Linked DNA regions of Oryzias latipes. The protein of the gene in region 1 interacts with the protein of each later gene in a pairwise test. Links are inferred from orthologs where the notes say so. Each region holds a gene or a part of one and is shown on either strand. Other genes may lie near its edges.

Region 1 (9,803 bases):
AATGAGATCGGGGTCTTAGGAATGTGTGATCAAATATGATACCACTGGTTATAAAGGCTCCAACATTTTTAATCTGTTTACAGTAATTAAAACAAAAGAATTGACATGAACAAAACATTTTAAAAATGAAAAAAACAGAAACATCCAAACTTTTGACCACATATGCTGTCAAGATTTTACTCTTGTTTTATTGTTTCTAAGGTTGTCCTGTTCTGTCTTTTTAACGCGTGTTTTGGTAACCTTTCATCCCGTTCCTTGTTTTAGGTTTTCTTAAAGGTTTTAATGTCCCTTTAGATCAGAGGTGAGCAATTCTGGTCCCCAAGGGCCAAAGTCCAGCAGCTTTAAGATATTTCCCTGTTTCAGCGCACCTGATTTTAATTAACAATCATCCTCCCCACATCACCAAGGTCTGCTGATGACACAGTCATGTTTGTCACGGTTGTGTTGAAGCAAGGAAACACCAAAAACCCGGAAGGACCGGCATTGCCCAGCCCTGCTTTAGATGTAGCTCAGACGATGCCTCCTCTGTAAGCCGCCTGCTTCTTTGTGTTTCAGGCTTAGTGCAGAGTATGGAGGAGCCTTCCTGATGAACAGGACCATAGATGAGATCGTGATGGAGAACGGCAAAGTCAAAGCTGTCAAGTCAGAGGGGAAGGTGAAGTCTCAAAAGAGGTTCTTCTTCTGGTTTTTCTAGTCTCTGTGTGCTCACCAGTTGTGTCCTTTCTCCTCCTTGATCAGGAGTTCCACTGTAAACAGCTCATCTGTGATCCCAGCTATGTCCCCAACAGAGTCAGGAAGATTGGACGCGTCATTAGAGTCATATGTTTGCTGAACCATCCCGTCAAAAACACCCATGATGCCAGCTCCTGTCAAATCATCCTTCCTCAAAGTCAGTTCAACAGGAAGTCAGGTCAGAGGATGAGAGTCATCAAGCTGCGGTTCTTCTGACAACAATCGGATGCCGCTCCTTCTGTCTGCATGGTAGTCTGATCTCCTCTTTGTGTCCATGCAGACATTTACATATCAGTAGTGTCCTACAGCCACAGTGTGGCCTCGGATGGACTGTACATTGCCACCGTGAGCACCACTGCTGAGACCATCACCCCGGAGAAAGAGGTGCAGCCGGGCCTGGAGCTGCTGGAGCCTATCCTGCAAAAGTGTGTCAAATCTGTTATTTTGCTTTTATGTCATTTCCACAACAAAATCTCACCTTAACCCTTTGAATCCTAGATTTGTAACCGTCAATAACCTGCTGGTTCCAAACGAGGATGGCAGAAAGAGCCAGGTACTTCATCAGAACAGAAAATGTGACAGAAATTCAGCAGCTTCCATGCCTGTCGTCGTGTTTGACTTCACTTTCTCCATCAGATTTTTGTTTCCCGCTCATACGACGGAGCCAACCATTTTGAGACAGAGTGCAAGGACATCAAGGACTTGTATCATCGGCTCACCGGGGCTCAGCTCTGCTTCCTGAAGTCTCGACATCAGTCCCATAACTCTGATGACGACTGAGGAACACGTCAATCAGAAGATGAAGCATGTAGTAAGCTGTTTGTGTTGTTCAAAAATCCTTTTTATTAGGTTTCATTTTAATCCTGATCTTTTTGAAAGTCTTCTAAAGGCAACGTTGACAACTGTCAGGAGAAAATGAATATATGTAATCCGTAAAGTCCGGTTGTGAAACCTCCTGATGGGACGTCAGCAAATCTTTTATTGTGTAGTTTTTGTGTTGATCATTCTCTAGTGAAAGACTGAGATATCTGGGCTTTTTCCTCACATTTCTCTGAGCAATAAAACATTTGATGAAACCGACACAAATAGAAAAATGTGTTTTCATTCATCTATTTTTTGTAAAAAAAACAAATTTTGGAATGAAACTTTTGTGAAGATTTCGATCAGATAAAAGGTGTTGCTGTCTCTTCTTAGACCTTCCTTTAGATTTGGATGGAAATTAGGAAAATGCAGAATATTTATTTCAATATTCTGGCACATTCTCCTGAAGGAGGCCATGGTCATTCTTTGCTTTAAGCTTTCTTCAGAATCTGCTGGTGAAAGTGAGCTGAGGGCTTCATGCACTTTCATGCAACATCCCAACGGGCTCTGGACACGAGGAAGATGATTAGAGGTGAAGGGCTGCGATGTGTAGAGGATTTGGGGATTCTCCTCTCTGCGAGGCTTATGTGTGAGAAGGACAAAGCCTCTGAACGATGTCATATGGGAACCGACAAACACACGGGGTAAAGAGGATTTATTCAGATCCAGGACAGTCACCAGCACTTCACCTGCACACATCCTCTATAGACCCTATTTACACATTTGACATCCATACAAACATCTTAGATCAAGTCAAAACAAGAAAGAAAATTGCCACTACAGGAATTTACTGAAAATATGGTGCTTTTGCCACACAAAGAGCTATTTATATGTCAAAGGAAAGTTTTCGTTTCCCTGACTCTCAGCTGAAAACATCCCACTCTCAGGATGGAGGGACCTCCAGAGCCGTGCTGGGAGAAGGAGGAATCAGACCAGCGGCCACCAGCCTCCTCTCACTGGTCAGGAAGTTGAAGGTCGCACAAGCGTTCGGCTGCAAAGAGAGTCCAATTGAAGATGTTTCCTTTGCTCCATTTGTTTGGGGTCAAATCTTTCCGTCGTGTGTTTGTTACCGTGTCCTGCACCTCCACCGCGATGCCTTTACGCTTCAGAAGAGCCAGGACAGACGGGTCGATTCTCTGGAGCTTGGAGCCCGTCCCCAGCACGAGGATCTCTGGATGAACGGGAAAAGAGCCTCATTTATCTGAGTTTCATGGTAGTGGGTGTGTCCTCATGCAGGGTCACGTCTCCTCCAGCTGGGGTGGAGGACTTTGAAAGTGCATTTTAGAATGAGGGTGAATAAATGGGTTTTGTGGCGTCAGAATTGTAATCATGCTCTACTTCAGCAACTTTAGTTCTGCTTTTCCTTACTGTAAACCTAATGCATTTCATTCCATCTTAATACGAAGCTGTTTTGGGTCGTTTTGGGATTCTACAAAGCCTTCTTTGTCAAAATGAAATTAGGTTAAAGAATAATTTGACCATCAAACAGTTCATGTGTGGAGGAAATGATGTTGAAGCCCTGGTTAGTTTGAAGCTTTTCTAACAGCACAACTCCTTCACATCACCATTTCATCCCAGCGTTTTTCATTTGTACCTATTGGAGGCTCGAGCATGTGGAAGAGGGAAATACTGTCTTCTGTGATGTCTTTGTGACTGCCAACCTGCAGAAAGAAGAGCCAACAATTATCTCTCGCCGACATGCAGAGTCTGGATTTGCTGTGGGTTTGGGTCTGACATTCCACTGCAGGATAGCGGGAGGCAGGAGGGCGCAGGGTCCGAACACGCGGTTTCCATCCACGTTGAAGCCCGCTGGGCTGTAGCTGTGGATCAGGATCCCATTGTCTGCTTCCTTCCTCATCATGGACACCGTGGTTCGCTGGTAAAACTCATCATCTCCAGGCTCTAACCGATACGCACGAGACAACAATGGGCTGCACCAAGAAACGACTGAATTAAAAACAAAACTATTGGCTGGAGATGCTTTGGGGTTTATTAAGCACTTCAGATGTTTTAAAGGAATTAAACTGTCGCTAAAGTTGCTAAAACGTTTGATTTGTTTCAAGATAACTAAGCTGAAGAAGATGAAAACAAATACAATTTGAAGGCAGCAAAAGAATGCAATTCCTAGTTTTACCTAAGCCTCTACCTCTTGCTGAGAGCTCTCTGTGTCCACCCTTCCACTAGCTTACAGCCCCGCACAACCCTAACCTAACATCACTAATGCAACAGAAATAACCACCAACATCGGAGCTGTCCAGTCGTTCAGTTTGGATCCAACTCAGATGAGGAAAACAAAGACGTTCGTGGATCTATTTGTCTGCATCAGAATGGAGCAGAGCAGGAAGCTCGTGTCGAACCAATCGCAGCATCTAGACCACAAATATGATCTTTGGGAAACGACACTTTCTTTTGCTCCTGATTCACAACAATTTATAGTAAGAAACGCTCAGTAAAATACTTTTTTAATTTCTTAAAATATGTCCTATACCACAAAAACATGTTAAAGACAAGAAAAACATAATTGTTATCGAAGTGGGTCTTTAAAAGAAAACACACCAACTAGATTTTATATATTCTTTAAAAAAAAAAAAAAAAAAACATCAAGGGGAACCAAGACATTAATTTGAAAGAAAAGTACTAAAATAAATCAGCAAAATCTGTTTGAGATGGACTGAACATATGAAAAAGGTTCACAAATGTTAAAATTGTCACAATGACAACTTATTCTAAACCAATTCTCAAATTTAACAGCATAATGGGCGCTTAAGTTCTCATAACTAAAAAAAAAAGGTTGATTATGAAGCTTTTCTGTTTATTTGTAATGCTCACGAGACTGCTTACTAAATTAATTTAAAAAAAATGAGCAAATTGAAAGAAAAGCCGAAATTAAGCAATCACTATCCCATCCATACCCTTCATCTTGTTTCATCACAACACAAGTTTAAATGTCATTGCCAAATGTTCTCACGTGATCAGAATCTCACAGTCAGAGTTATTTATCTCTAAAGCTTTATATTTATATTATTAAGATTAGTCAGAAACCCCCGTAGTACCTGGAGAAAGCAGGTGCTGCCCTGAAGGACAACAGGAGGCCCTGAGAAGACTTCTGCAGCAGAAACCTGCTGCAAACTGCTGCGGCCATGTCTGAGAGGAGCCGGCGACACACACGGGGGAAGGATTTCAGTGTGACACCACCGTCGGTGTCATGTCTGATGGAGTAACCGGCGACACACACGGGGGAAGGATTTCAGTGTGACACCAGCGTCGGTGTCGAGAACCGCACAATCAAACTCTTCTCACTTTTTCACTAAAAACAAATTCATAAAATAAAACAGTTAAATTAATTCATGTGACGAGTTTTAACCAGTCTGACGGGGAATCAATTTGAGGTTATTTTGTGAATCACAAAAATCCATTAATGTTATTAGTCTGAGAAAAGGGGTGTTCAATGTTGTCCTCAATCTTTGGACAATTTTCAATCTTGAGGTTAATTATAAACATTTTAAACTGTAGATAATGAAAAAAATGAAAGTGCAAAGATAATATGGATAATTAAATCGCCCCTAATACCAGAAATTAGACTCTTTTGCAAAAGTATATCTGGAATATTTTGGAGAGTCGCTCTGATTTTGATTAGCGTGCCTGGTGGGCGTTTCGAGCACAGCGCCCTCTGGTGGCGTGTATTGGTATTAATCGGTCAGGTGACCCCACCGTTGTAAATAGACTTCAGCGAGCCTCTGCAGACATGCCTTTTTAGTCCCTTTAAACCGCCAACAGCACAGCAAACGTTTCCGCTAGGGCTCAGTTTTTCTCCCGCACAGCTTTTCTGCCGCTCGTTGACGGAGCTGTAGGGAATCATGTACCGCTCTCTGTATCCCTTCCGATCCACGGAGCCCAACTCGCTGTACTTCGCGGCCGGAGAGAGCTTTCTCATCCTGGAAAGGAGCAACAAACACTGGTGGCTGGGATCCCGCTGCAGCTCGGGGGAGACCGGATACATCCCCTCTTCGTACATCGAAAAAATACAGGTACGTGTACGCCACAGACCCCGCGGTGCCGGTGAGGACACCGACGAGGCGGTGGGGTTTGACCGCCAGTACGGGGGGGGTGAAGGCGGACCCGGAGATGCAGCAGGCCGTGTCCGAGCCGGCTGGAAAAAACGCGCCGCAAAACAAGGAATTCTGGGAAGTTTGGTTATTTTTGCCACTGCGCAGGTGACACGCTGCCATTCACTTATGTACTTCATTCTACACAATACAATGCAACAAAAAATACATATTTTTGAGTAATAAAAATAAACACCATTTACAGTTTCCTCCCAAAAACGTTATTAACAATCGGCTATTGACAATCGGTCAAGAAAGCCCTACAAATGCTGTGCAGCACATCAGCAATCAAATCAATTCAAACTAATTTTATTTCTAAAGCACCTTTCATGTAAAGAAAACAGCTCATGGTGCTGTACAGAAACACCCACACACCCACACACACACACACACACACACACACACACACGCGCGCACACACACACACACACACACACACACACACACACACACACACACACACACACACACACACACACACACAAACACAAGTAAAAGAGAAATTACAAAAACCAAAAGAAGAAGAAGAAGCAAAAAGCTCAAGAAGAGAGAACCCAGAGAGAAAATCATCAGTCTGGAGGTTTTCATGGTCTTACTAAAAATGCAAAGACAAACATAGAATGACAGTTTCTTGTAGCCGTCATATTTTGCATATGTTCCTATGTCGTGTTAAATGATTTTAAGACCAAATAGAATAAAGTAAAACAAGGTTGTGAATTGGACCATTTACTGTAGTAAATGTAGAATTTCCGCAAAATAAAAAAAACTGTTAAATAGTAAAAATGACGTTTCTGGACATGACATCAAAAATATTCAGATAAATCTGATGTCAAACCTTAAATGAAACTTCTTTTATTGTTTTATTTTTCCTATTTATAAATATTAATTAAAGGTTGCATTTAAAATCCAGTTTTTACTGCAACAAAAATATATTTCTTCAAATTTACGCCTAAATGTCTTAACAGAGTTAGTTTTTTTTCTTTATCTTTGTATTTTGTTTATCTTCCTATGATTGCTTGATTATAATCAACGACGTCAGGAAACGTCCAGAGGTTTTGGGGCCAGACAACAGCTCACCGATGGATCTGGGATCTTTGCCAACAGCATTTCAGAATCAGCCGTCTGTCTCCTCTGAGTCACTCCTCCTGTGTCTGGATGCAGGCGTTGGGTGAACCGGTCCCAGCCCGTTTGTGGAAGACGGGCCTGCTCACACTGGCAGAAGAGGAATGCTCTCCTCTGCCACCATCACAGAGCTTTAACCCCCCACGTTAACATTGAGAGTGGGGTCATCTGGACCCCACAGGACAGCCCAAGGGTTTGAATGACGGTTGCAATGCTGTTCTCATTTCTTTTGGCCAGAAGGCGTTCAAGCCCTTAAATGATGTCCTGATAATTCAGCTCCTTCATCTGCTCCCTCTTCTTCTCCGTCTCAGGCTCCCGAGCAGGATGAGGTGCTGCTGTCCATCGACAGAGCCATTGAGGGAATCCACAACGTGGCCTTGAAAAACGGCGGCAAATACAATCTGGAGCAGCGGGACGTTCTGCAGTGAGTTGAAGGCACGGACGTCACGTGGGGCCGTCGACCTCCGCACAAACGTTGGGTTTTCCTCTGTGTCGCAGGAAGTTGATCCATCACAGGAAGGAGACTCTGGCCCGCAGAACCCCCTCCTCCGCGGGCCACAAACCGGGTCTGCCGTCGTCCAACAGCGAGATTTCGCTCAGCCAGACCCCGCCTCCTCCTCCCAACGGCCTGAAACGGGAGTACGGGCGGCAGGGCAGCATGCCGTTCTCGGGCAGCATGGACAGCATGCAGGGAGAGCAGGGCTTCTACCAGGTAACGTCCTCGTCCGGCCCCCACCCACCTGCAGTTCTGCTGCCCCACCTGTGGGGGGGTTATGGAAAGAAAACCCTACTTTAACCAACACTGAAGTTGAGTCAGGAGAAACGATAACTGTTCCCAAAATACTGAACAATAGATTTTAAATTAAAAGATACATTTTTAAAAATTTTTTTTCAAGTTTTGTTCTTTTTCTTTTAAGAAAAATGTAAATCTTTAGCAGAGATTTGACCCTTTTAACTTTGTGAAGGTTTGTTCAGATTTTTCATGACGTATTGTCCCATTTGTGTGTGTTCTGCTATCTAGAACACACATAGATTGTTTCTATTCCCTTTCTGGATTTATTAAGTACTTTTGGATCGATTTCATCAGGACGGATTCTCTGAATTGCTGCCATTTTTTCCCTTCCTTTTTAGAAGAAAACTCAACAAAAAACTAAATTCAAACTGATTTTGATTTTCATTTCATTCCATTTTTTCATTTCTAGAGCACCTTCCACCACCATCCAAGGAGGCCCAAAGTGCTTTAAATACAAATAAAAAAAAGAATCCAAGGATAGAAACAGTCTAAAGGTCAGAAACGAAGGCAGAGCAGTGGAGGAACAGGGAAGCCTCTCTAAAGCCGACGGCAGTTCATTCCAGAGTTTAGGAGCCAGCACAGCAAACACAGCCTTTGGTTCTCCAAACCCATAGCAAGCACCCATCCACAGAGAGTAGGGACTTTATTTTAAAAGCTAACCCCTTAAGGAAAGAGGCTGCAAGTTACTGAAAAGTAAAAAAAAAACAAGAATTTTAATGTTGAATGTTTAACTTTATGTTGGATTTTGCAGAACAGAGAATTTCCCTGTTGATGTTAAGTTCTAATTACTTTGTAATTAAAAAAATTAGCTGCATACTGCTCTTTAATAGTACAGTATTACTACATAACCACTGCACAACGAGGGCTGCACGGTGGTGCAGTGGTTAGCGCTCTTGCCTCACAGCAAGAGGTTCAAGTCCCGGCTGGGGGAGCTGAACCAGAACACCAATGGGGGGCCTTTCTGTGTGGAGTTAGCATGTTCTCCCCGTGCATGCGTGGGTTTTCTCCAGGGACTCCAGTTTCCTCCCCATTTTCTCCTACCCCCCCTTCACATTTTTACCCTCTCTCCTCCCTCTGTTAAAAAAAAGAAAAAATGTATTTTTAAAACCTAAAATGTAAAAAAAAAAAAAAAAATTTTTTTTAAAAACATGAAGGGGTTTATACAAATATACACCCTCTTTTTGTGATAATAAAACCTGTCCAACACAAAAGGCCTTCAGCTCTCAAAAAAAAAAGAAAAGAAAAAAAATGAGAACAACAATATAAAGTTTTTTCAGTAAACAGGAAGTTCCATTAATAACTCTGTGCTAACGGAGCGGAGCTGCACCTGAACGCCTCATTTTGGCTCTTTGGTTTCTTGCAAATCGAAGCGTTTCCTGTCTGTAAAATCATCGGAGCTGAACCCGGATGTCCTCCTGTCGCCTCCTGCAGGTGCCGCCTCAGCCTCGGCGCGCTGCTCCCATTACTCCACCCCCCCCGGAGAAGCGAGCAGACGGGCGTCGTCCAGGTGAGCCCCGGCTGTAGCTCGTGGCTTTCCCGCTGCAGCGCCGCGCCTCACAAACTCTATTCTTGGTCAGGCGGCCCCCCGGTTGCTGCTCGCTGTAATCAGAGCCGTCTCCCTCTCTGCAGAGCCAGAGGTCCCCTCTAGAGCCTCCTCTCTTCCTCCGTCCCCGGCCCCCTCCCTGACCATCAGCGCTACCTCTGCAGAGCGTGGCTCCTCCCAATCTCGCACCTCCTCCGATGTCAGCCTGCCAAGTGCTTCCAGCACCCCCCCTCCTCCCGTGCCATCCCGCGTGAAGCCCCATGCAGACGTGCAGCCATGCAACTCTCCTCTGCCGGCTCCTGCAAAGAAGAGCCCCGCGCCACAGCCCCCCCAGGCCGCCACTCCCCTCCAGCCGCCTGTGGCGAGCCTGCCGGAAACCGAATGGCCCGTCGCCCCCCCTTCGATGGCTGAAAGTCCACCCGGCAGCCCCACATCCCTAGAACCAGTTCCTGCAACGATGGGAGCAGAGCTGATCGAGCTGGTGCGCAAGAACACGGGTCTGAGCTACGAGCTGTCGCGGGTGGCCGTGGGCGTGGTGGTCGGCCATCTGCAGGCCGCTCTGCCTCAGGCGGCCTCCTCCCTGGAGCAAGTTCTAGTTTCATTGGTGGAGAGCAAGGTCAGTGCCGCTTCTGTGGTAGAGTGTGGA
Region 2 (10,133 bases), on another chromosome or scaffold:
GTGTTTCCGCGGCTTGGCGCTCAGCCGTGACCCCTGGAGCGGAACAGAGGGCTCTTGAGAAGCGCGGCGCTGATTAGCATAGAGGAGCAGTGACCTCCATCATCAGATGAATTCCGTCCAACCAGAACGGAAACACTCAGCCGCGAGCTGTAAGCGCCGCGTGAAGCGCACCTGATATTCACCTTTAAACTGTGCAACAGCTGGATTCAGAACCGAGCCTCTAAATGAACAGGTGTGCATTTGGCGCCATCTGGCGGCCAAATATTTTACGAGAAGGCTGATCCTTTGTTCCGAAGCCAAAGTCAAGAAATTCAATTTGTTAATCAAATAGAGAGCAGTGGTATAAGACGCAATTCAAAAGTAAATGTGAAGTAACTGCTGTCTAAATACATATCGGTTTAGCAAACTGAAAGTTTAGCTATTTAATTTAGAATGCAAGTTTTTAGGGGAAAAAACTAAGTTTTTACTTTACGTAACTTTAAAGACAAACTTTTTTGTATGCTATCAAACTGCCTGGTTAAACCTAAAGGTGTAAACGGGAATGCAAGTTTAAAAAAAATCTAAAGGAGAAGTAACAGGCATGACTTCTTGCATACCTTCTGTCAGGACCACAAATATTTGGACAGAGACACATTCTTTCTCATTTTGTTTCTATACATTACCACAGTGAATTTTAAATAAAACAACTCAGATGCCATTGAAGTGCAGACTTTCAGCTTTTATTCTATGGGTTGAACAAAAAGATTGCATAAAAATGTGAAAAACTAAAGCATTTTTAAACACAATCCCTTCATTTCATGGGCTTGTAAGTAATTGGACAATTGACTTCCATGCTATTGCATGGGCAGGTGTGGACAATTCCCTTGTTATGTCATTATGAGTGAAGCAGATAAAAGGCCTGGAATTGATTAGAGGACTCGTGCTTGCATTTAGAAGATTTTGCTGTGAACAGACAACATGCGGTCAAAGGAGCTCCCCATGCAGGTGAAAGGAGCCATCATTAAGCTAAGAAAACAGAAAAAAAACATGCAAGAAACTGCTACAGTATTAGGAGTGGCAAAATCAACAGTGTGGCACATCCTGAGAAAGAAAGAAAGCACTTTTGAACTCAGCAACGCAAAAAGACCTGGACGTCCACTGAAGACAACAGTGGTGGATGATCGTAGAATAATTTCCATGGTGAAGAGGAACCCGTTCACAACAGCCAACCAAGTGAACAACATTCACTAGGAGGTAGGCGTATCAATATCCAAGTCTACCATAAAAAGAGGATTGCATGAAAGTAGATACAGAGGGTACACTGCAAGATGCAAGCCGCTCATAAGCCTCAAGAATGGGACGGCTAGATTGGACTTTGCTAAAAAGCATCTAAAAAAAGCCAGCACAGTTCTTCATTGGACAGATGAAACCAAAATACGCCTCTACCAGAATGATGGCAAGAGAAAAGTATGGAGAAGGCGTGGAGAAGCTCCTGATCCAAAGCACACTACATCATCAGTAAAACACTGTGGAGGCAGTGTGATGGTCTGGGGGTGCATGGCTGCTAGTGGCACTTGGACACTAGTGTTTATTGATGATGTGACACAGGACAGAAGCAGCCCAATGAATATCTGAGGTGTTCAGAGACATACTGTCTGCACAGATCCAGGTGAATGCAGCCAAACTGATTGGGCGGCGTTTCATAATGCAGATGGGCAATGACCCAAAACATTCAGCCAAAGCAACTCAAGAGTTTATTAAAACAAAGAAGTGGAAAATTCTTGAATGGCCAAGTCAGTCACCTGATCTTAACCCCATTGAGCAGCATTTCACTTGTTAAAGACTAAACTTCAGACAGAAAGGCCAACAAACAAACAGCAACTGAAAGCCGCTGCAGTAAAGGCCTGGCAGAGCATTCAGGAGAAAACCCAGCATCTGGTGATGTCCAAGACTTCAGGCTGTCATTGCCGACAAAGGGTTTTCAACCAAATAGTAGTAATGACCATTTTGTTTTCAGTTTCATTTGTCCAATTACTTACAAGCCAATGAAATGAAGGGATTGTTTAAAAATGCTTTAGTTTTTCACATTTTTATGCAATCTTTATTTTCAACCCATAGAATTAAAAGCTGAAAGTCTGCACTTCAATGGCATCTGAGTTGTTTTACTTAAAATTCACTGTAGTAATGTACAGAAACTAAATTAGAAAGTCTGTCCAAATATTTATGGTCCTGACTGTAGTTTGAGGACAAATATTCAGGGCCTAGTTAAAGCCCACAGCAGGAACACTGTATGCATTGGAACAGTTGAGGTAAGTCCAAGTTAAGCTCTTTAAACCAAATTCATGGATTCCACCTACAGGTAGAATAGATTGTCCTCACTTATTTATAAAGATTATTCAAGGGCCAAGGTAAAATTTATCATATCCAATATTTTGGTTGAAGAATTTAAATTATTTTCTGTGAAATTGATGTTGCATTCCACAAATTAAAGGCTCTGGACTTCATGTTTGCAGGTAAGTGTGATAACCAGGTAACACCCCACTACAGTTTAAACGAATTGGCAGGAGGTAGAGGTGTACCAATGCATTTTAATAATTCGGCTCAGTTTGTGGTTGCCGACAAGATTCATAGTAGATATGTGTACTTTGAATGATCCTATGACCTAAAATCAATCCAGGACAACTCCATGCATCTCATAATAAATACCAGGGTGCTGTGCAGTGAAAGTGACGTTTACCAGATTACTTGGATTTCTTGCAAGATAATTTAGTGTAAATAAATGTGTACAAAACAAGTAAACAACAATTCATTACTAATAGTTATGGTAAAAAAAAACAAAAAAAAACACGATCATGTCTCAGTTCAACTAGTATTTTCCGAGATCGATTATCATTCATTCATATTATTTTGAAAGGATTTTATAATGCTATAGGTTAATTACGAACTTGCCTCAGATCCGGTTGGATAAATCGATACATTGATTAATTGTTACACCCCTTGCAGGAAGCTGTGTAGGTGCCAGTCTGAGAAGGATGGAGTAAATACAAGTTTTAGATGACCAAAAAAAAATCCATAAACAAGAAATAATGAAAATCAATCAAGTAATCTAATTACTTTAATACAAAACAACAAATACCAAGCTCCAGGTACAATGTCTGACAAGTCAGACACTGGGTGCAATGCTTTCAAACTTTTTAAAACTAAAGTCATGTCAAAGTGACTTAGAAAAAGCATACTTACATGTAATCTGGGAAAAAAACAAATATTTTATTAAAAAAACGCCTTTTACTTCCACCACTTAAAAAGGAAAAAAACAAATTACAAATTTCAACCTGTGTTGGCATTATTTCTTGGCAAATGAGATCTTCATTGCATGAGTCTGTGTGATTTTGAATCCCTGTAGTGAATCTCGTGCAGCTCCAGCCTGAACCTCATTATCAAACTCCACAAAGGCGATGTCATGGCGACCAGGGACCAGACGCACCTCTTTAAAGCCAGGGAACCTAAACGCAGAAAACGGTCACGGTCAGTCTTTGATATGTTGGGCAGAAAAGAAAGTCAAAGCATAAAACAATTATCAAGTCAATACTGACTGGTTAAAGAGCATGGAGAGCATCAGCTCGTTCGTCTCCTCTGGCAGGTTGGTGAGGAAGAGGATGTGATTCGGTGGATTTTCTGCAACCTGTAAGAGAAGGCAAATGTTTGACAAAAAAGAAACAAAACCTGGAATGTTCATCTTTGGTTAAACATGTAAAGAACAGGGGGACAAAAATCATTACCTGCTGAGGCATTTGGCCAGGCATCATCTGACCCATTGCACCTGGGGGGATCTGGCCAGGCGCCATTCCTGGGGGAGGCATCATGCCTGGAGGAGGCATGTAGGCCGGCTGGCCTGGAATATGCATCATACGGGGAGCTTGGCTCATAGGAGGCATTCCCTAGAGAATGACACATTGTAAACATGTTCATGGTCCTCTAAATGTTTGCTAGGTTGATATTATGTTCTGTGGGGTTTTTAAACCAAACTTTTTCTCCATCAATTGCTGTTATTTTAGCTTAAAATCTCCAAACAACCTATCGCTATGGTAAACTTAGCAAGTTTGCAGACAGTATTTTTCCACTTTTAACTTGTCCGAGTAAGAGCTGCCATGTCATTCTGGTCACAGTAAACGTTCCCACTTACAGGCATAGCAGTAGGCACACCAGCCATCATGGCTGCAGCAGCAGCTTTCTTAGCTCCTGTTCCTTCAGGCTTGGGCTTCCTCTTCTCCTTTTTGCGCTCACGTTCCACATAGGTTCCTTTCATTTTTGCTATGATGTCCGAGTCTGTTTTGGAATACTGAATGCGCTGCAGTAAGACACGTTTAAATATGTGGCATTACTATACCAAGTGTGCTTAAAAAAAAGAAAAAATCCATTATACCTACTAGTTATTTAAATGTATTTTTAATAACCATTAAAAAGTGTTCAGTGTTAAGTGTTCAGTGATCCTCTCACACTGAGCACTTCTAAGTTTACAAAGATCAATCCTTCATTTGATGCACACTGTGGAATTGAAACATTTCACAAACTATACAACACATGACAGCAGAGAGGAATATTGAAAACTAAGATTGATTTGAGTTTTAACATTTTACAGGACGATATTTGTAAATTTAAAACCATGGAGGAAATTAAAACAACGTTTAACTTACCATGGGTTTATCATAGAAAGGGAACCCCTGCATGGACCTCAGTGCATTTGAGGCGCTGTTGATCTCTTTGAAGATAACAAAGGCCTGACCCTTCATCTTCAGGGTTCGTGCGACGAGGATGTCCAAAATTTGACCGAATTGCGAGAAGATGGCGTACAGTGACTTCTTCAGTTCTAATAAAGACAGAGGAAAATAAAAAGCTGTGGTGGATCTGAATTAACATCATTTATCACCACATCGTTCTTTCGACCAAAAAAGCAAAGAAAGGCCAGAAGTTAAAAAACTTACCATCTTTCTTAATTTTTTCGTTCAAGTTGTTGATATATATGGTGTGATTGGGTCGTACTTCTGGAGTGGTCATCTTAAAATCTACGAAGAGTTGTTTGGAAAAGAACAAAGCATGTCACATAAAATGAATTGAATGCTATCAACTAGTTAGCAGGCTAACAGCTAGCGCTAGCAAACAACCCTGAATGCATGCAGGCATTACTAGCATAAAGCTTAAAACTCGGTATAAACTGAGACAAATCAGCAATAAATGATTAATTTAATCGAACTATCTGTAACCTTATGACATTTGGTTTTATAAAAGAGAAAAAACACCGGATAACCGCACCTGAGTATCAGTTTTAACAAAAAACCCACCACCGCTCGGCGCGAAAGGAACGCTCACTTCGATGGGTGAATGAAAAACCTGCCTTTACAATTTCCGTATCATCTGCTCGCGATAAATCCAACTTGCACGTGATTTCCGGTCCTTCTCTTTTTTATTGAACATTTGCAGAATATAATACAAAAATGCAACATTTATAACAGTAAAATATAAAGAATACAATTACGTTCTGAATAAATAAAAAAATCTTTTTAACCTTGTAAAAAACTTCTTCTTTCTCTTTCGGCTTTTCCCATCAGGGGTCGCCACAGCGAATCATCGTCCTCCACCTCACTCTAACCTTGTGAAAACTATTAAGAACAAAATTATAAGCAATATCGATTGTTAAAACGAATCTTGTTCAATAATATACAATTAAAGCAATCACAGAGGGAAAAACTAAGTAACAATACAGTAACAGTAAAAATAAATACATAAATAAAACAAGAATAAAAAATAGAAATAAAGCCAGTGTATTTGCGGTCCTTTTCAGTCAATGGTCAAAAACGAAATTTGTTTCAGTATTTGCGTTAGCAAGATATTTTAATCGTCCTATCAGTGTGGTATCGTATCTTGACAGGAAAGATTAAAAGAAAATGTCAAAAATCTGTAAAAGAAAAAGAAAAAAACCCAGAGACACAAGCGAAAAAAACTTCGCTTGTCCTGTTACACACTGACTGTGGATTGACTTGTCACTAACTTTGTGCCTTCAACTTTATTTCCAAATACATTGTACGGTATGTGTGTAAATGGTGTGTTAAACTGTAGATGACTAGTGATGGAATGATCATCATCACTCACTGGAGGGTGGTGTAACAGTTGAGTACAGAGCGATCGCACACACGAAGAAGAGCGAGTATGTCCAAATATGAGCACGGAGCTGCGTTAGCTACTAGCTTGTTAGCTAGTTAAATCGAAAAGTTTGTTTACCACGTGCAAGAATATGTCAAATCTTTTTCGTCCAAAGGTTGACATGTTTAGGTAAACATCGAGCTTTTTAGATTGTGTGCAAACGACTCGAAGTGAAAGGTAAGCAGTTATTGAGCCCCATGTTAGACTTTAATGGTACTTAACTTTCTCCCTGGTGGTTATTAAAGAAATCAATGGAGGTACATTTTTCCCCCCAACAGAGCTGGTTTTGATCAGACAGAGTAGAAAGATTTTGAGACTATGCCGGTGGACTGCAGCTTGTCATCACCTCCTCCACCTCCTCCACTGGCTGCTTGTCCGCCTCCTCCTCCACCAACTTCAGCACCACCGAAGAAACTGTACCAGATCATAGCAAATAACAGCAGCCCTGTAGAGGGGCAATACACCGAGGCGAGGTTACTGCTGAGGCAGAAGGAGAGCAGGTGAGGAGGTTCACTACCAATCCAAAGTATTTATTTGAGTCCTGGATTGTTATTGAAGCTCACATATCTCATTTTTTTTAAACTAATGTATTCCATTTTTCTTTTAGATTCAGGAAAGACCTGCAGTGGATGCTGATGAACACGTATGTGCCTTCCCTCATTCAGGATGGCCCTCAGTAAGTCAGTCAACTGTGCTGTCGGGAATAAATAGCACCAATTTTTAGACTCCAAAGGGGATATCATGTCAGAACGATCTTTGGATTCAAATATTTGGCCAATTGACCGAGTGAGAATGTGAATGTTTCAGGTGTGGGCTTGTGGCCTTGTGGATGGCCGCTCACCTCCAGCAGGACAAGCTGGATTTGGACATGAAGACTTTGGTTCAAACAGCAGTGAACAGTGGATACACTGCTCAGGGGGAAATGTTTTCAGGTAACACTGCACCTTGAAAGAGAAATGAAATTATAAGGTTTAAAAGTTAAAATTCTTTGAGTTAACTTGGATATGAGTGCAGTAATTCAGTTCATAGTGTCTGTAGTAGTTAACTGAATTCTTGCTTGTTTTGTTTTCAGACACAGGTTATGTATGTGTCAAACATAACCCGTGTCTAATAATAAAACAAGGTGTCAGTTAATACATTTAACTTAAACTTATATTGGTTAAATTGTTTCTTAAATATTTACAATTATTTTTTTCTCCACAAGAGCTTACAGTAAAATATTATTACAATGTTTATGTGTAAAGATGTTTTTTTTCTTTTATGTGTTTGGCTGAAGCTCCTTGTTTTCTTCAGCCCACAACATGACGCTGCTGGCAGAAGAGGCTTGTGGTTGTAAGGCTGAACTGCTCACTGGAGGCTTAGATGGGAATAACAGAGAAACCATCATCAGACACCTGTGGAAAGGACAGCCTGTTCTCATCCCGTATCCTGCACATCAGAAAAAGCCACAAGGAACGGTTCATTCTGATTGAGCAGAACATTTCTTGACAACATGCCCCACCAGCTATGATGAGGACTTCAACCATGAACCGTGTCAGCGAAGCGGTCACAGAGCACACTGGGCTGTCATTTCAGGTAAATTAGGTGGTTCGCTTTAGTTTAGTAAAGGAATTGTATAAAAGATCCTCTTAAAATGTTTGCTTTTGCAGGCCTAATGAATATAATTTAGGCGGTAAAAAGGTAAACAGTTAGTACTGTTTCCTTAACAAGCAAGACGTGACTTGCGTGTGTTGAGTCAATCAAAACCTGAAATCTCAAAAACCATGGTTGTCCATCCACCCAAAGATTGCAAGGAGAACTTCTAATTAATGTGGGTGTAATTTTTTTAAAACCCTATCAAGAATGTAGTTTTTGTGCATTTTCAGGATTAAAATAAAACTCTTGTTTTTGCCCCAAGGTAAAGCCACTGTTAGAAAGTACAACATTGCAGAATGATTAAAGATTTCTCCATAAATTTGACTTATACAAAGATAAATTTGTGAAATTCCTCTTTATCCATATGAGCATTTTTGAATAACTCAATAGAACGTCTCACTGATGAGGTGCTGACCAACAAACCTGATGCGTAATGGAAAGCAAGTGTCTTATAGCAGATAGATACGTTTAACAAACCCATTTGCTGCTTTGGTCCTTGTCTTTTTGATGACTGGATTAAACTTGTCTAATCATCATTTTAATCTGGATCCTCTATTGAATCCATTTCCATTCATTTTCTGAAAGCACTGTTAAAAAAATCACCTGTGATGGGAGTTGTTTTGATTTTAGGTGTTCTTGTTGGTTTGGAGCAAGCCAGTTTCAGTCAAGAGCACACTCACCCAGACCCAACGCTGCCGTGGCTCCACCTCGCCACCAGCAGCAGTTCTCCATGTCCTGCTGGCAACCCAGCTCTCAGAGAGGCCTACGTCTTCGCCAAGCAGGGGAAAAGCCTGCGCTACCAGCTGTGGAGCCTAGACTGTGTTATTAAGAGCAATGAGCAGCTAAAGACCATGGACCCTCAGAGGGTCAACGACGGGAGCCGGTATGTCGTTCCTGAAGGAGGGGTGGAAGCTGGTCTGGCTGGACAGGCCGTGTTGCTCCACACACACACTCAAGAGCAGCAAGGGTGATGCTGCAGGAAGATCAACCTCTTATCTTAGCCTGTTCTACTCAAAGGTTCATGTGCAACAGGTCATTTCAGAGGCCTTTTAACGGTGTTCCCCAAAGTGGAAACCTGTAGATTAAAGTATTTTGAAATACATCTTTTACATTTGTTTGGAAATATTTCAAAAAATCCTAGAATTAAAGAAAAACCAAAACCATTTACAGTAAGTTTATTGCAGTTTATGGCTGACAAAAAAAACAATTTCTGCCCAGTCCAAAGTTTTTTGCAAAAGGATAACACCCGACATTTTAAAAATACACAGTTGTTCACATCCACCTCAATCACTGACACCCTGTGTTCATTTTCAAAAAGGTTAACTGTATTGCAAATTAAATGTGTCACTTCAGGATTTTGGAGAATATTCTTTAAAAGAGGAAATATAAAATACTTGACATTTGAAATCAGTCTCTTGTAGGTTTGTGTGATACTGTTGGAAGATCCAGGAATTGCTACAGTTAACCTGCTGACAATACTGTCCAGTATGGGGAAAAAGAAGTCCAGTACCTGCTTTTCTTTGCCATGTGTTCTTTGACTTCAAATAAAACAAAACTGCAAGATCGCTTCTGAATTTTTATAAGACTTGTAAATAGAATTCCAGTTTCACGTGAACCGTCGCATTACTGTGGAACCAATGAGAACATCCGCAGAGAACCGAACGGCAAAGGAAATTCAAAAACTGTAACCACAGCACTTCACTGCTGCCTTCCGACAGAGGCACTGCGTGTTTGTTCGATGGCTTTGTGAAGATCTATAGTGCAATAAAGTCAAAAAACAAAATAAAATATTGCTTTTAACTTGTTCACGGTTCATTTAAAAAGAAAAACAAAAAATCTTCATTGTATGAAATCATACAAAAATAAAACAGTTTCAGGTAAAAGCAAACCTTTGGGACTACATGCTTATTTTTGTGTGTTTGGGAGGATTGTGAGAGTTCACAGCCCAGGAATGATTAAACAGTTCAATCAAAAAAAAGAAAAGAAAAAGAGCAAGGCATACATTTTGTACACAGGTGGTAAAACAGTATTTCAAAAGGAAAAAAAAAAAAACATTAAGTTAAGATATATTTACACACAGTTAGTTTACACAAGGACCATTGTTGTAGTGTTGCAACGTCAAAGATGAGTTCCATTTCCCAATGCTTTTGAAGGACTGAATGAGTTATGGTTGCTCTTACAGAGTCCATAGTTGCAGGATAATTCTGTGCAACATTAACCTGAAGGGGGAGCTCTTGGAAAGAGATCATAGTGTCATTTTTTTGGGGGGGGGGGGGGGGGGGGTTGATTTTCAGAAGTCCATTGGTTCAAAGCCTTGTGTT
Region 3 (9,968 bases), on another chromosome or scaffold:
CCCAGAAAAACTGAACTTTTAAGAAATATGGAATGTAAAATAGAAGAAAGAATGATTAAAACTAGTGCATATCTGTTCAAATAGACCAATAAGGGCTCTGATCTAGAAAAAAATAACATTCCACCAGTAAATTAGTATCAGGCGTTCTGTTCCGACCGGACAAAAAAGGCTGAGACTCAGATTATGGTTAAATGGTGATCAGATTATCATCTGGCCGTGACAGATGTTTTCTTGTCACAGCAGGTGAGTCGGATTCGGTGCAGCGTGTTCCCGGTGATACCTGCATGTGTCTCCCCTGCTGGAAGTGATGAACTCCCCCATGTCGCACCAGCAGCTGCCTCCTCCTCCGCCTGCAGAGAAAAACCAGGCGTTCTTCGAAGTAACCCCACTTTTGATCCCAGATCCGGGCCTTTTGGTGGGGTTTTTTAGGCACGGAGCGGCGTCCGCGGGTGTCTCCACCTACACAAACGGCGATGTGAAATCCGCGCTCGCATTTTGAGGCTTTGCTTCTTCCTGCGGCGCAGATTCATCCGCCTGTTCATCAAAGAGTAAACGGCAACAAGTTCCGCTGTTTTCTTTTATCCACGTGAGACGCGCGAGCCGACTTCCAACATCAAATGCAGCAAAAGCCTTTCATGTTCCGACTGTCTGATACATTGTTGAAAACTAGTGTCGGTGTTTGTGACGCCGGCGCGAAACACCGACTTTCACTTCCTGACTGGACTTTCGAAATAAAAGACCCACAACAAGAATTTCATTAGGAAAGCGTTTTTAACGACTTAAAAACTGTACAAAAGTGAAAGTATTTCTGCTGTGGTCACTCTTAGGCTTAATATAAATTAAAGGTGAAAAAAAAATCCCGTAAACATTGCCCACAAAAGTAAAATACTTTGGCCTAAAACAAATCCATCTCACATTTTCTATCAGTTTAGTTACATAATGAAACACTTTGATAGCCTATATTAAAACAGTACAAAAATGAAGAGAAATTTATAGAGAAATAAGAGAAATTTATAGGATAAAGCTTTTGCTATGATGCCTGAAATAAACTGAAGAGTGCAACACTTCGATTGTTCAGACCATAATTAATGTATTTGTGACCAATTTGTGAGAATGCATTGTCCAGACTGGCGTTGGGTTTGTCCTCGCCACCTTTCTTGTGGTGTCCTTTTTCCGCTTATATCCTTTATTAATCCCAGTATTTCTAGGCTTTAAGAAGCCCCCTGGAGCTTTTTGTTGCAGCCTGTTTTGTGTCTAATCCAGGTACACTTGAAAAACAGGAATGTTTATGACCAAAAAATTAAATAAATGTTAAATCAAATTTTAGTAATCATACTTCAGAAACAAAACAGTTTCTCAATCAATGCAATAAATAATAAATAAAACAACTACTTCAATCCGTTCTCTTCACCCCTTCTGTCCAGTTGGTTTAATTCATTGCAAAAGCCTCTTGTTTAATAAGCACTTGCTATACTTTCTCCGTGTAACCTGATGTCCAGTGCCTGCTTTAATAAAAAAAAAAAAAAAACTTTTTTTTTTAAAAATAAACCTGCAGTTAACAATTCAGCTGCCAAAGTAAATGCTCTATAGAAAAAAAGAACAACTAAATGTGAGGAAGTCTCTAATGGCTAAATGAGGGTAACAGTCTTGTCTTCTAAATCACTGTTTTTTTACTGTAATCATAATAAATGCATATATCAAGAGAATTCCGAAAACATATAAAAACAATTGACATTACTGTCAAACTACTGTCCCCTTCTTTTAAATGTTTTACTGTGAAAGCAACGTCCCAAAGCTTCCGCTCACACGTGCCCACTTCCACACTAACTTCACTCTCCTTTGCTCTCGTGAGAACTGACACCCACAGAAGCCAGTGGCTCTGGCAGCAGTGGAGTCTTTCGGGAACATGCGTGTCTGCGCATGCTCCAGTGCACAGGAAGGGCTCATCTGGCGGGAGGAAGGGCTCCTTTTGGGCAAACGAGGATGTTTGCAGAAGATGAAAAATGGAAATGTGGAGACTAAAGAAGCACCTTTTCTATGTATCAGCCGATACTAAATCATCAAAAGTTAATACGAAAGACAAATTAACTGTATTATTGGTGTATATTTACTGACAAACTCCATTCTCTACTTCTGTATTTAATTGACTGTAGACATTTTCCAAGTCTGGGAATTTGATTCCCAGGAAAAACCAACACCCTCTGCCATATTTGTGCCTTACATGAGTTGCCATTCTTTCCATTTGTTTCTTGTTTACCAGCAGGTCTCTGTTTCCAGTTTTGCTCTCGAATTTGGGATTTTTTTTAGGGAAAACTGTAACTCAGGAACACACGTGCTTTTGTTGAGTGCTCCCTCCAGAATCTGTTGAACCCTGGTTATAAGTTCATCTCAGCAAATGACTCAAACAGCAAAAAAGCCCCACATGGATACTTCTTTTATTTTGAAAAATTGCATGAATGCGATGGACACCTCCACATCTGTAAATTCACTCCCAGTGTTTCAATTTGTAGTTGCCTTCTCCTTCACGTCTGAACATATCTTCCTGCTGCGTGAACATCCTGATGCACCAAAGCTGCACATGGATGAGACCCAGGATCCCCGATTTTTGTCGAGCAAATTTATCAGCCACTTCAGGAAAAATGTACCAGCGTGAAGTTTATGGAGTTTCTGCAGCTGTTTTTCAGCAGAACCTCTGCTCCAGCGAGCTTGTAGAAGATGGGCAATGGTTCATTTGAAAGTCAATCACCTCTGTGGGACTACAGATCTCACCTTCAGGACAAGAGTGGAATTGCTTCAACAACGTTCTTTCGACATAATACAACTAAAGCAGCAGCAGCGGTTTGAGAAAGATCAACTGCTGCAGAAAAGAGTCCTGAAGTTACACTCCAAAGCTACACATACAGAGTCGTCCGCTCACTTTCACACTGAGACTGGGTCCAAAATGACCCGTCCAGCCTGAAACCGGACTCAGTGGAGACCGGACAGGAGCAGAAGTTTCTCTGAACAGTCAGGTGGACGGAAATACTCATCAACGGACAAGACACGATGACATGAAAAGGCCTGAAGAAGAAAAATAAAACAGCAGAAAATTCCCGTGGAGCTGCATCAATGAGGCCTAATCTGGATGTATCTGAAGGCTTTTTTCATGCCGATCTGAGTTTAAACTGGTTTATTTCTGAATATGAGGAACCAGTAGAATTACAGAGGAAGAGCAGAGATCTGAGCTTAATGGCTGAACTCTCTAGACATCGTTCAAGTATTCCAGAAAATCACTTTTTACACCAAACACTGAGTGACATAAATAAATGAGGTCAAAGTTCCTCCTCCACTGCCTCCTAAGACGCCTTGATCTGATTGGCAGTTCGGGTTTTGGGCGGTATGATCTCGACCTTGAAGGGGACAAAAAACTCCAGAGCAGCTTTAGTGTCCTTAAAGTCCAGAAAATACTCCTGCGCTATCTTTTCAGGCGTCCACGTCTGAGGCTGGTGCTGGTGACTGCCGAGGGCCTTGACGGCTTCTGCGATGGTCAGCTTGCCTTTGGGGACGTTGGTGAGGCCGTACGCGTATCCTGGGATGTGGACTCGCGTGGGCCTCCTCTCGGATTGCAGAGCCTCAGGAGCTTCCTTCAACGCCTGCGGGGGAAAAACAAGGCTGGCTGAATTTCGCAGGGCATCTGCAGTCCCCCATAGCCTCGGGACACAGACCCAAACACTCCTGGTAGGACAGCAAATAAGGTAAAAAACTTTTTCTGTGATTATTGTCATTGATCTTTTCTCCCCCTCACGTCACAGCAGGATGGAACCTGGATATGTAAAGATGCTGCTTGGTCATAATTTCCACAGGTCTGTGCAGGAATCTAAACATCCTTCACATCTGATGGCGCATGCTCTCCTTCTTTCACACTGGCAGACTGCCCCCTGGTGGAGGCTGTGGGTGATGAGGACTAAATGCTGCCAGCAGAATCCACAAAGCCCAAATCCAATGAAAATTGTGTTTTTTAAACCATATTCTTGCAGCATTTCTCTCTTGGTGGAAGACATATATAAAAAATATTCAGATCAAAAGTATGTTTCTTAGTATCAAATCGTTGCTGATCCGGAACAAAAAAAAAAACACCATTTGAAAAGGCTGTCAGTTATGACAAAGCAACTGAAAGGGGCGGGGGCAAAGTCTCCAGTCTCTGCTCCATTCTGATCTGTCAGACAAATCGATCCATGTACGTCTCTGTTTTCCTTCTCTGAGCTGGCATCTAAACTGTACAGCTGGATAGCTCTGATATTGCTCACCATTTTTGTTGTACCACTAATGTTAGGTTGGGGTTGTGAGGGGCTGTAAGCTAGTGGGAAAAAGTGTAAACATGGGATATCGGCAGAGGCTTACTTCCGCACAGACAATCCCGCCTACAACTTATTAGTCAGTTTCTGATGAACTTTGTTCTTGAAAATGACATTTTGGCTTTAAAAAAAGCATAATCAGGATTAAAGGACCACCGGGAACACTGACGGAGTGGGACTCTAAACACCTTCTTTACTACAGTTCCCATCTAAAATATGCATAACTTTCACTGAGATGAAGTGTTACAGTTCATCAAACCCCTTTGTGTTTCTGGAGGATTTCTGTTTCTTCATTCTCTCTTCCTGCCAACACTGGTGAACATTTTTATCAGCAGCCTTTTGCTCTGTTAACTTGACATTTGAGTGTGAGTGTTGGGTTCAATTGAAGCGATGGTCCATCCATTGTCTTCCTCTTCTCCTGGCTTTGGGATTTGGGTGCAGCAGACTCAGAGAGGAAGCTCAGACCTCCTGAGACATTTCCAGGTCAGCTGGGAGCAGAAATGTCTTCGGGGTTCTGGTTCTGTTGTGGGCCTCCTCGAGGTGTACCGCTGGAATTCAACCGTCTCAGGTGGAATCTCGCGATACGGAGTAGTCGCAGGTCTGCCCAAGTATCCACGTAAATTTGTGAGCTTTAAAGGTTTAAAAAATATTTCATACGGAAAACACTAAACTGACTCATCTAAACCATCCTAAACCGTTCAGAACCAACAGAACCGGACGCTCTGACCTCTGCTGTGGCAGCCGGGTCTGTGGACTCCACGTACACGGACCGGAGGAGTTCGTGGAGCGGCTCGTTCTTCTGTCGAACCGACTCAGAGACTGGAAGGAGAGCAGAGAGGTGAACGGCTCCTCCATCATCATGACCCCGAAGGGAAAAGAGACACACATGACATGCGGCAGAGAAAGCTGGGCCCACTCACCGTCCGAACCGGGAAGAGGCGGCTCTGGAACCGCGTGTCGGGGCGCCGCCGTGGGCTTCTCCTTAGAAAGTTCTCTAAAGACTCGGTTTTCCAGGTTAAAGTTTCGGAACAACCGGGCGATCCGACCTCCCATGTTGGATAACTTCTCCCTGACAATTGTCAATAAAGTTTATTCAAACTGGAAGTTCTACTTAGAGTTGGAGGGAAAACGACAGCGCCACCTTCCGGTTGGGTGACTTTGTTTTCAATTCTCACCCCAACAAGAATCAGGAATAAGTTTTAAAGACAAGTCATGTATTATAGATTCATTACGCACAGCATGTTATATTTTATGTTTTATGTTTTTTTTATTATATTTTATGTGTTTTGAATTCATATGTTGACAGAAATAATCCTCCAACTCAGCATGGAATAAAATATTCTATCGAGTTAACAAAAAGAGATTTTAACAGAAATGTTGGCCCCCTAAAATAAAGGCACTCCTCACATAAGAAGACCCTGATTGATTTGGTTTATTTGAGGCTATTTCAGCAATAAAAGAAAATAAAAAAGAGAACAAAACAAAAAAGGAAATACATCTAATATTTTTAAGGTTGAAATGATTTATTATCTTCTAAGAAAAGAATAATAAATGATGCCATCTTCTTGACTTTATAATTTTTTCTAATAGTACAAACACACAATGCACATTAAATCCATTAATTATAATGGCTGACACATAGTTTGATTAATTAATTGAATGGAAGAAGGAATAAATAAAGTATATAAATAGACCCCTGGAATAATGGCAATCGTTTATTAAAGCATGGAGAAAATCAGTCTGTGGCCAAGCAGAGATAACAGCTTTGGCCTTCTTCAGTGTTTTTGCATTTTTAACTCCAGTGTCTGGTATCCCCCCAGTCAACCAGTTTCAGGGATACAACAACCTTCAATCAAGAGCCGGTGCTTAAAGTAGCTAGAAAATGAACTAAGGATCACTGTGAACAAGGTCACAGCGATGCACAGGTCTTGATTTCCTCAGATAAGACACCTGTGAAATAGGGTCAGGTTTGACCCCTTCAAACCTGGATTATTTCCAATTACATGAAAACTTTTTCGTCAGTGTTTTTTCTGTTCAAGATGATGTTAAATGTTAAAACGGTATGTTGCAAATGATCAACATATGACATAAAAGGGGGTTTAGGTTGGCTTGACACCATGAATGCATCAGATGAAGTTCATGTTGTGGAACAGCCAATGTTTCTTGAAAGTCCGACTCCTGCAGCAGTCCTTACAGGTGTTGGCTGTGCTTTACAAACCTATGAAGACTGTGGTTATTTCAGTTGCTCGGGAATCATTTTAACCACATTTTTTCCCCCTATCTATAACCTTTTTAAGCATGTGCTTGAATGCAACAGTCTTAACAGCTAAGTTATTTCGAAATATCCTTTTTTGTTGTCCTCATCTTTTTGGAGGCTTATAATAATGGGTTGTCAAATCTGTAGTCATCGGACTATAGATTTGACTTGACTTGTTACTGTTTTAGTCTAAAAAAATATCTGTATTTAATACAAAATGCTTGAGAACAACAGCTAATCATCTATGCGTGTGTGTTTAAAAGGAAGGGATAAGACTTAAACCAACATAAAGCCAGCAGCACTGGAAGGTTTCATTTATTGGATGAAGGTCAGAGAACAAAACAACAAGAAAAGCTGGCCTCTGTAAGAGGAAGGGCTTTCTGCAAAGAATGATGGATGTCAATAAAAGATCAATATCAGATGATTCCGAGTAACTTCTGAGCTCTGCATCAGTTGGTGTGCATTGGAATAACAAAAACAAAAAAAAACATAGCTGTCTCCCAAAGCAGAGTTTTTATTCCAACAATGAAAAGTGCAACAGTGGTGCCTGATGCTTCATGAAGCTTTGGCGCAATCTCAATAAAAACTTGAGGCCCACCCAGCGTAGTTTTTACAGAACAAAATAATTATTTTTCAACTGCTCCAGATTCACAATGATTTGAATAAGAACATACCCAGAAACACAATTTTTCACCTAATTTTCTTTCTCCTCTTAAGACCCAAGCAAATATTTAAGCCGACCCTCTAAACATGTAGTCACAGGAGTCTAGTTAAGCAGAATTAACTACTGTGGTAGTATAACCTAAAATGTGATGTCCACGCTGATGCCACGTCCTAAGAGGTTTCTTCATCAGAGAAATGCCACAAGAACACATTAAAACACCAAGAACACAATTTTCATCTGAGTGGGTTTTTACAGTAATGTTTAGAATAAGCAACAAGTTAGCCTTTAAAGAAAAGCTCTAAGACGGGCTGATCATCAACATTAACCATGAATTTAAGACTCAACTGTTGTGTCTTCAGTGATGTAAAGTATCAGTGTCCAGAACCAGTCTCAGAGACCTTTTCATGTGATGAAAATTATGAATGCACACCTATGTATAGTCATTTTATTCATGGACAATATAAAAAGAGACAAAAAATATATACATATTCATCTTGCTTTAACATATTAACATTTGTGATTGTCTCCGTGATCTACAGAACAGACACCATCAGATGAGGTGATGGGGTTTCAGTGGCTGAACTTTAGACACTGAGGTCCCTGTAAACTATTCTCCAGAAAGTTTTAATGTAAACCATGATCTGGCTTTACCTCAACTCACTGCCAAGGATCATTTGTGTTATCCTGGACAAGCACTAAATTTGAGGATTTGAGCAAAAAAAGGCCACTCTTCCAAGGACAAGTTGAGATTTAAATGGCGTATGCCTCTTCTTTCACACTTTGTCTCCCTCAGACTGCTAAGACAAACAATATTGGTGTTTGCCTTCTGCATGAAAAGACCCCAAACTGGGTGAAAAAACAAAATACTTTGTTAGAATTTGTGGGATTAAGTATTTCAAACTTCCTTTTAAAAACATTTTTATTTTATTTAATCTGAATTAAAAACATGAAGTTCAAAATTCAGCCTTGAAAGTAAAGATGAAATTTGTATTTTTAAAATGTAATTCCCAAATGTAATTCCCAAATTGAATGTAGGTCACTGGGAAAGGATGCGAAAAGGAGATTGTATGGGGTGTGGTGGTGCCTGCAGCGTTATATGGGGCTGAAACATGGAGTCTGAAAGTGGCGGAAAAGAGGAAGCTGAATGTAGTTGAGATGAGATGTTTGAGGAGTATGTGTGGTGTGACGCGTATGGATCGTGTGAGAAATGAAGTTATCCGAGAGACAACTGGTGTGATGCGAGAGTTGGCTGATAGAGCAGAGCAAAAGGCATTGGGATGGTTTGGACATGTTGAAAGAATGGAAAGGGAGCGATTGGTGAAAAAGGTATCATCTGATGTGAGTGGAGTGAGAATGAGAGGAAGACCGCGAATGGGATGGACAGGGGGTGTAAAAAGAGCGTTGAATGCAAGAGGGATGACTGTGGTGGAGGGGAGAGCGGCTGCTCAGGACAGGGATGGGTGGAGAGAGTTTGTGTATGAATGAATGGATGGGTGTGGTAGAGGTCTGGTCTTGGGATGAAGCGGCAAGGGGAAGCCAGCCTCGGCTGAGGCCCTGCTGTGGAGGTGCCCACACTGGGCTGTGCAGCTGACCCTGGTGCAGTGTGGTGTGGCTTAGACCAGGCCTTAGACCAGTCTCACACCCACACACGCACACACTGAAGGAGGAGGGTTTGGGGAAGAGAAGGAGGGAGGTAAGAATGTGTGCCCTGTCTAGGCTAACCCACTTTGTTTGGACACAGCCTGGGTATATAGATAGATAAATAGAATTCCCAATACAAGAAGCAGACATCAACTCAAAGCATGACAGCTGGTCTCATTGGTGCTGAGGTTTCATTCAATTCTTTCAGATCCACATCATGTCTGAACATCGACTGTCTCAGAGAACTAAACCAGTAAATACCTTACCCCCCAACTCCAACCCAATCAAGTCAATCCAGGCACCGTTTTTCCCAATATGGACAAATCCATGTTGGAGCCAATATTTGTCAAATGTGTAACGTTGTACGTGGGGGCCAGCGGACACATACTTTTGAGGCATCTGATTTGTCACTTATAACTTCAATGACTGGATCTACAGAAAAAAGTACCACAAAAAAAATAGGATTATCAAGAACATGTTTTTTGAAAAAAAGGTATTAAGACCAAGAAAGGTCATTCTGAACAATAAAATAGTCAACAATAACAGCTGTTTATTTCACTATAAAAGTCTACGGGATTTTGGCTTTTTGGAGCCAGTAGGTACTTCCTGTTTGGAACGCCGGGGGAGGGGAAGGTCACTCAGTCCAGTTCTCATATACAGTAAATACTTCTGACACAAAAATGACCCAATTTTTTTGTTTTCTTAGCAAAAAACAAGCAAGCCATCTTTAGAAAATTGAAATAAACAACTTAACCAGCTCTTTCTGGTCATAACTCAAGTTAGACCCAAAAAAACATTTTTACAAACACAATAATGATCAAAGCTGCAAGTAAACCCAAAGACTGAAAGACAAGCTGCAATCTCATGACGGATGAGAAGCCTTTTCCTTAGGAAAAAGTCCCTATACTTCATGCTTTTGATTTTACTTTTTCATTGTCAAAAATATTACAGAAAAATCAGTTTTTTCTGTAGAAACATATTCAAAGCTCTGTGGTAAAAAATCTAAGAAAAGAAAAAGCAGCTTGGTCTTAAATGCTGTCACTTCCCTCATGGATGAACACTGCAAAAAGAA

Evidence for each region.
Region 2: the proteins of ndufaf3 (region 1) and snrpa interact in binary tests that used the Homo sapiens proteins (3 or more experiments, as listed by UniProt). The two-hybrid records come from large-scale screens. The link is inferred for Oryzias latipes from reciprocal best matches to the Homo sapiens genes NDUFAF3 and SNRPA.
Region 3: the proteins of ndufaf3 (region 1) and ndufaf4 interact in binary tests that used the Homo sapiens proteins (3 or more experiments, as listed by UniProt). The two-hybrid records come from large-scale screens. The link is inferred for Oryzias latipes from reciprocal best matches to the Homo sapiens genes NDUFAF3 and NDUFAF4.

The regions. Positions count from the first base shown.
Region 1 is NC_019863.2:1,714,463-1,724,265, forward strand, and holds ndufaf3 (NADH dehydrogenase [ubiquinone] 1 alpha subcomplex assembly factor 3), read right to left. Parts: upstream 4,750-9,803; 5' UTR 4,647-4,749; intron 3,496-4,646; 5' UTR 3,455-3,495; coding exon 3,329-3,454; intron 3,255-3,328; coding exon 3,188-3,254; intron 2,765-3,187; coding exon 2,664-2,764; intron 2,585-2,663; coding exon 2,477-2,584; 3' UTR 2,232-2,476; downstream 1-2,231. Other genes in the region: rab GDP dissociation inhibitor beta, read left to right, coding at 556-655, 739-910, 1,013-1,157, 1,231-1,285, 1,369-1,512; nckipsd (NCK-interacting protein with SH3 domain), read left to right, coding at 5,451-5,621, 7,133-7,245, 7,320-7,533, 9,046-9,121, 9,244-9,773. UniProt on the Homo sapiens protein: Essential factor for the assembly of mitochondrial NADH:ubiquinone oxidoreductase complex (complex I).
Region 2 is NC_019871.2:13,954,971-13,965,103, reverse strand, and holds snrpa (U1 small nuclear ribonucleoprotein A), read right to left. Parts: upstream 5,372-10,133; 5' UTR 5,290-5,371; intron 5,043-5,289; 5' UTR 5,035-5,042; coding exon 4,962-5,034; intron 4,847-4,961; coding exon 4,674-4,846; intron 4,328-4,673; coding exon 4,163-4,327; intron 3,918-4,162; coding exon 3,759-3,917; intron 3,662-3,758; coding exon 3,573-3,661; intron 3,483-3,572; coding exon 3,323-3,482; 3' UTR 3,312-3,322; intron 3,227-3,311; 3' UTR 3,077-3,226; downstream 1-3,076. Other genes in the region: c13h19orf54 (UPF0692 protein C19orf54 homolog), read left to right, coding at 6,496-6,677, 6,785-6,853, 6,985-7,109, 7,471-7,600, 7,682-7,752, 8,443-8,783. UniProt on the Homo sapiens protein: Component of the spliceosomal U1 snRNP, which is essential for recognition of the pre-mRNA 5' splice-site and the subsequent assembly of the spliceosome. U1 snRNP is the first snRNP to interact with pre-mRNA.
Region 3 is NC_019882.2:21,367,505-21,377,472, forward strand, and holds ndufaf4 (NADH dehydrogenase [ubiquinone] 1 alpha subcomplex assembly factor 4), read right to left. Parts: upstream 5,432-9,968; 5' UTR 5,388-5,431; coding exon 5,255-5,387; intron 5,154-5,254; coding exon 5,062-5,153; intron 3,633-5,061; coding exon 3,336-3,632; 3' UTR 2,418-3,335; downstream 1-2,417. UniProt on the Homo sapiens protein: Involved in the assembly of mitochondrial NADH:ubiquinone oxidoreductase complex (complex I). May be involved in cell proliferation and survival of hormone-dependent tumor cells. May be a regulator of breast tumor cell invasion.